2 linked regions of the Tribolium castaneum genome follow. The protein of the gene in region 1 purifies or fractionates together with the protein of each later gene. This does not show direct contact. Links are inferred from orthologs where the notes say so. Each region holds a gene or a part of one and is shown on either strand. Other genes may lie near its edges. The genes, in order: runt-related transcription factor 3 and HDAC3.

The links.
Region 2: the proteins of runt-related transcription factor 3 (region 1) and HDAC3 purify together in Homo sapiens (affinity purification with western blotting; 3 studies listed by BioGRID). This does not show direct contact. The link is inferred for Tribolium castaneum from reciprocal best matches to the Homo sapiens genes RUNX1 and HDAC3.

Annotation. Positions count from the first base shown.
Region 1 is NC_087399.1:3,616,831-3,619,680, reverse strand, and holds part of runt-related transcription factor 3, read left to right. Parts: intron 1-417; coding exon 418-591; intron 592-2,424; coding exon 2,425-2,850.
Region 2 is NC_087401.1:11,246,675-11,250,967, reverse strand, and holds the start of HDAC3 (histone deacetylase 3), read left to right. Parts: upstream 1-1,399; 5' UTR 1,400-1,561; coding exon 1,562-1,766; intron 1,767-1,814; coding exon 1,815-2,691; intron 2,692-4,293. Other genes in the region: flap endonuclease GEN, read right to left, coding at 494-647, 692-971, 1,017-1,174. UniProt on the Homo sapiens protein: Histone deacetylase that catalyzes the deacetylation of lysine residues on the N-terminal part of the core histones (H2A, H2B, H3 and H4), and some other non-histone substrates.

The sequences.
Region 1 (2,850 bases):
AAAATACACCAAGCTGGCTGCAATTGTAACCTCGAACGTATCACATGATGTTGCAGTCGGCCAGCGGAGTCGTGCCGCTGGGGATAAGGCAACGGAAGTAATGAGCGAAAGGGTTGATTCCAAGACGCCTCATTGGTCGGGCGGGGCTGCCTCAGACCTCATTGGTGCGCCACAGGACTGCTGCTAACCTTTAGTATCAAGATCTATACCGAGATCCTGGTCGCTGCCTTCTCCCAGGATTCTAGTTTGCAACTTATTGTTTGCAGGAAATATGAGATTATGAGGGTTATTATTGAATACGCGCACCAGGAGACTTTGCCAACTTAAGAGGATAATGACGTTTTTGCCGACACCACCATTTGTCTTAATTAATCAATTTGAGTTCGGGAGAAGGCGCAATGATGGCTTTTTTTGCAGGCATTGCTCATCATCTGGCGGGACTTCCGGGGCCCCCGCCCGAGTGGGCCATGCTAGGGGGGCGACATCCGTACCCCCCAGGACCCTTCGTTCCTCACCACCACCCGCACTTTCCTCCCCATATGTTTGCAGCGCTCGACCGTCCAATTAACACCTCACCGAGAATAGCAAACGGTAAGTACTTCATTTTTTTATTTCAAATGACACTCGCAATAAAATTCTACGTATTAGAAATGATGGTAATATAGTAATGCATTTTTTTACACTAAAATAAAAATATAGTAACTGTGAACTTGATTTAAAAGTTGATTTGTGATTTGGCTATTGTAAAATTTTTAGATATAAATTAAATATTTTCGTTTAATTTTTTTATAATTTAAGAAATGAGTTATCTAAGAATTCAACGCTTCCGTTTAAAGTTATGAATCGCCATTACGTTCATTTCTTTTTTTCTCAAAACAAAAGGTATTTTCTCTTTATTAGAATGTGCTCTTACGTTTACAATTTGGCGCCTTTTACCTTTTGCCACATTATTTTATGCTCCGCTTACGTTTATATGTCTTTGTGTTCTCTCAATCTCTTATTTTTGCTTACTTGTTGTTTCACTTACCTTTTCTACACTTATTTTTTATAGAAAAATTGTTACTCTGATCCGGGTTCGTACCCGCGACCTCCACCGTCGTAAGTGGCGCTTATACCACTGGGCCACCAGGGCCCTAGGTACTGACCGTCTTTTGCAGATATTTTAACACAAACTTTTTAAATAAATCAACATTACAAACTATATATTTGCAATAATTTACCTAAAACGCAAGTACATTCAGTTCAAAAGTCGGCGAATTAGCTCGAGAAAACATTTTCTTCCACTTTTTTTCAATTTAATTTTCTAATTTTTCACCAGATTTCATTAAAAGATACCGGGCGTATAAGTTGATTCTACAATTTAAAATTGTTTTTATCTTTTTTTGTGACTTTCAGCACGTTTTTGACCGAAAATGAACATAATTTCTCGAGAAATCACTAAATTTGTGTATTTTCTAGTCAAAAATAGTGGACGTGCGCAAATCCTACCGGATTCGCAGTGGCCATGATTTTTACTGACAATGTTTTTCGGAACTTTACTAAACAAACTCAGTTAACTAAAAATTTTTAGATATAAATTAAATATTTTCGTATATTTTTTTATAATTTAAGAAGTGGGTCATCTAAGGATTCAACGCAAAAGTTTGAAGTTATGTTTCACCTTTACGTTCATTTGTTTTCTCGCAAAACAAAAAGTATTTTCCTTTTATTGAGATGTGTTCTTACGTTTACAATTTAGCGCCTTTACGTACTTTTACCTTTTGCCGCATTATTTTCTTATTTCTGTCAGTTTTATGCTCCGCTTTACGTTTATACGTCTATGTGTTCTCTCAGTCTCTTATTTTTGTTTATGTGTTGTTTTACTTACCTTTTCTTTACTTTTTTTTATAGAAAAATTGTTACCCTGCTCCGGGTTCGTACCCCCGACCTCCCCCGTCGTAAGTGGCGCTTATACCACTGAGCCACCAAGCCCCAGGAACTGACCGTGTTTTGCAGATATTTTAACACAAACTTTTTAAATAAATCAACATTACAAACTATATAATTGCAATAATTCACCTAAAACGCAAATACATTCAGTTCAAAAGTCGGCGAATTAGCTCGAGAAAACATTTTCTTCCACTTTTTTTCAATTTAATTTTCTAATTTTTCACCAGATTTCATTAAAAGATACCGGACGTATAAGTTGATTCTACAATTTAAAATTGTTTTTACCTTTTTTGTGACTTTCAGCACGTTTTTGACCGAAAATGCACATAATTTCTCCAAAAATCACCAAATTTGTGTATTTTCTAGTCAAAAATAGTGGACGTGCGCAAATCCTACTATTCGCAGTGGCCATGATTTTTATTAACAATGTTTTTTGAGACTTATTTTTGTTTCACAATGCGAGTAAAGTTTTCATAATCAACTTGTTTTTTCCAGAGCCCAGCTCGACCTCCCTGGGCCCCATCTCCATCAACTGCACCCCGGCCCACAGCACCACCTCCCCCAAGACCTCCCCCACGCAAGTGGGCCTTCTCACAACCGCAGGCGCCCCGCTTTCGCCACCTGAAGATGACATATCCGTAACAGCATCGCCGACTCCGTCCCCGCAGCCGCCACCGGCATTTCCCGGGGCGCCTCCGCCCCCAATCCAAAACAATCAATTGTTCAATAACGCACTAGCCGCCAGCCTGTTCCTCAACGCTCCTTTACTTCCGCCCCCCGGCCAGTGGTTCTACTCGCAGTTTTACCCGCACGACTGGGCCTGGATGAACCTGCGACACCACTCCCTGCTGCCGAGGAGCTCGTCGCCTCTCGAACTAGGTCACAATCCCAACGGATCGACCAAGTCGGAAGGGGTGGATG
Region 2 (4,293 bases), on another chromosome or scaffold:
AGAAACCCATTACTTTTTCCCTCTTCTTGAGGAGGCAATTTTTTTTCCTCCTCAAATTGTCCTATTGCCCTAGTGTTGTTTTTCCAGTTGTTAATTTTCTACTAATTACTTACTACGAAAGTTTATACAAAATAAATTGTTCATCCATACTTTCGACGATCTTTAAGAAATTTATTTCTTAGCTCTCTTAGCTATGAAATGTAAAGAGTTATAGGCTGTAGCAGATTTTTTGAGAATATCCCTATTAAAGTGGGTAATTTATAAATTAGCAACAGTGAAAAATTAGCCAATTATTTTGATAAATATTTTTCTGATGTACCAAAAAAATTGTAAGTGTAATTAAAGTAATCTTTCTGGTAGGTTCCCAGATATTTTAAAAATTGTCGAAATAATTCCTGTATTGTATATTTGGATAATAAATTGATGGATTGATCAGAAAAAAATAATAATAAAATAAAAAAATCAAACAATCATTCGCAATTCGGGGACTCACTCAGTCGCTCATTGGCCACACTGATGTCATAAACGTCCACAGAGCCCCCTTTGGCCGCCTGATTGCCCTGCTGCGAGATGGAAAAATTGCGATAAACGACACGTGCCCCATACGCGAAACAATCCGAATCCTGACTAATAATCCCATCGACGAGCTAAAACAACCCCTTGAACCTTAGAAAAAAAAATATGTTTTTACCCCAGTTTCATTCAATTGTGCGCACAAAGCCTCGGCCTCGCCCTCCCCAGTCACACACGCAAGCCCCAACAAACTCAACATCTCCTCGCACCGTTTCAACGTGTGATTAAACCTCGACCTGTCCTTGGTCTTGGCCCCATTTTTGGGCTTCGCCCCTTTGAACTGCAGGGCATTGCGGGCGGCGATCGTCTTGTATTTGAGCTCGGGGGCGCGCCCCTCGAGCACAAACACCACATTTACGTCCATTAGGAGCAAGTAACAAGTGCGGAAATACAAATTTCTGGAAAAAAAAATCAAAATTTTGAACCGGTGTCAGTCACCTAACCTCAAGTACATGCGGGGTTGCACCGTGTATTCGGTCACGTTTTGCGACTCGCACACCCAGCACGACAAGTCGATGGCCACGGTCTTGCCCTGCAGCTCGTAGAGGGGCTTACGCTCCCCGAAAGGGGCCAGAAGCGTCCACAGGTCTTTGATGCCCATTTTCAAACTTGGGGATTTTGGTTTTGGAGTTGGTGACAAAGTCTCGACGAAAATCGGGGGATAAAACGCTTAAAACAGACTCAAATGGGCAAATTTCGTCTTTATTCTCAAAAACAACATTGCGTCCAGAGTTTTATTTGTGAAATATGTTCTGTAATTAATGATAATAATCTTTACGACAACACCATTTCTTAATGGGTGTTTTTGCGTCGTTCGGTTGGTAGTGAGGCGCAGAAACGTCACGTTTGTTTGGGGGCTGTTTTATCAGAAACCACAATGGGGGCTATCCGGAAGCATGCCGGAGGATAGGTTTTGGCTGACGAAACGCCTTGTTGTTATAGTTTTGTTTTTGTATTTTTTGTACGTGTGGAAGGAGCTATCGGCGTGATGTCGAAGCACCGAGTGTCTTACTTCTTCAACCCTGACGTGGGGAACTTCCACTACGGGACGGGGCACCCCATGAAGCCCCACCGCCTGTCTGTGATCCACAGCTTAGTGTTAAATTACGGGCTGCACAAGCACATGCAGATTTACCGGCCTTACAAGGCCAGCGCCCACGACATGTGTCGCTTCCACTCGGACGAATACATCGGTAAAGCCACCACGGTAATTTCACTTGCCTTAACCCCCACACTTGTAGATTTTCTGCAAAAAGTCACGCCGCAGAACATCCAAGCGTTCACCAAGCATCTGAGTCACTATAACGTGGGGGACGATTGCCCGGTCTTCTGGGGGCTGTTTGACTTCTGCTCCATGTACACGGGGGCGTCGCTCGAGGGGGCCATGAAACTGAACAATAACCACTGCGACATTGCTGTTAATTGGTCAGGGGGGCTCCACCACGCCAAGAAATTCGAAGCCAGTGGTTTCTGCTACGTTAACGATATTGTGATTGGGATTTTAGAATTGCTCAAGTACCACGCGAGGGTTTTATACATTGACATCGACGTGCATCACGGAGACGGCGTCCAGGAAGCCTTCTATCTCACTGATCGGGTCATGACGGTCAGTTTCCACAAATACGGCAATTATTTCTTCCCGGGCACGGGCGATATGTACGAAGTGGGGGCGGAAAGTGGCCGTTATTACTCCGTCAACGTGCCGCTGAAGGAAGGAATCGACGATTCCAGCTATTGGATGGTTTTTAAGCCGGTCATTTCAAGCGTGATGGAATTTTTCCAACCCACTGCAATTGTACTACAATGTGGGGCCGATTCCTTGGCCAACGACCGCCTGGGGTGTTTCTCCCTGAGTACCAAAGGGCACGGGGAGTGTGTTAAGTTCGTCAAGAGTCTGAATGTTCCAACTTTGGTGGTTGGAGGTGGCGGTTATACGCTGAGAAATGTCGCGAGGTGTTGGACTTACGAAACTTCGTTACTTGTGGATGAACAAATTTCAAATGAATTGCCCTACACCGAATATTTGGAGTTTTTCGCACCCGACTTTACCCTACATCCTGAGGTGGTCACAAGGCAGGAAAACGCAAACAGTCGCCAGTATTTGGAGGCCATTACTAAGTAATTTTTAAATTGATAAGTATAAGGGAAAAATGACGAACGTCATTCAAAGAAAAACAACTTTTTTTAGTTAATTAGTTTTAATTTTGACTATGGAGGGCTATAACTTGAGCTAAAAAAATAGTAAAAACTACATGACATTATTAGTTCAAATTCTTGAAAAGTAGTTATTTCCTGTTTTTCCCCTGTACTCTTCAATTGAAGGTTGAACAACTATACCAGTGGCGCAGCCAGAGATAGAGTTTATGGGGGTTTACCTTCGTAAAAATATGTTTTTCATTAGTAAACTAATAACGACGCAGAAATGAAAAATGAGCTCTTTACCTGCATATGATTATTTTAGTTCCTTGTAGCACTTAAAATTAACTAAAAATAAATATGTTGCTGAATGTTTTTTCGGAAATGTTGTTCGGGGCAAAAATAATGTAAAAAAAATTGTCTTAAATTCAAGGTTATTTGTTGTATAGCTCACATTTTGTAGCTACAAAAATTATTAAGAATTTCACACAAAAAGCTTTATCTGTCTGTTTCCTGCCTTATTTTATAGGTGGTAATTGTTTTAATATTTTTGTTTAAGTGTTTCTATTTTAATTATTTTCAAAAATATATGCAAAATAATCGGTAAATAATATTGGTATTTTTTGTTTTGTGTAGATAATATTATTTTTTTTTATTTTTTTATTATTACCAGAAAGATAAGGGAGTGTACCTACTATCAAAAACAGTAATCTGTTAAAAATGTCGGTTTTCATAAAAAATAACGTCATTACTCAAAAAGTTATTTCTACCATGGTATCAGAAATGTAGCATTTATTTTACAAAAAACCTCTCCGAAGATTTTTCTGAAATATAACGAAAATATGGATTTTGTGGGTTGCTTTTCTCGGAATTTTCGGAAGTAGAAAAAATCGAATGTCTACAATGATTGTCTGGAAAGTTTTGTTTTATTACTGCAACTTAAATTATTTTGCATGATTATGTTCTCAACCCCCAACAATCTCCCTTGCTGCGCCACTGAACTATATTAAGGAGGTCTGAAGTGGAACTGAACGCAAAATTTGAAATTGAATTTTTATGAAAAGTATTGCACAAAATAGTTTCATTACAACTGGGTGTTGTTCTAACGTTGAATCATTCCCGAGTTTAAAACGGTTAGAAACGTGATTTGTTTATTTTTCTATAAAAAAATTAAGTTCAAATAATAATAATAATTTATGAAAAAAAAAACATGGCTTAAAATTAATTTTTTTAAAGTAGAAGTTATTTTTAGAACATAATCTTTTACCAAAAAAATCGCCATAGGAGGAAGCCATTTGAAAAAAAAATTAATAACACGTAGACTAAAAGAAATTTCAAAAAATTTTATTCTTAAAAAATTATCACATTTTTAAAGTAGTCGATGACTTAATAATTAGTTTTTTCGTAAGGTACATAGTTTAAGCATAAAATGCTTGGTTCCATACTTTTGCCCAACGTTGTATATGAATTTGAAAAAAAAACTTCTATGTCATTAAAAAATAAAATGAAAAAGCCCATTTTTTGGTCATTTTTTTTTTATTAAAAAATGGTACATAATTTTTTGATAAATTTTATTAGGAGTGT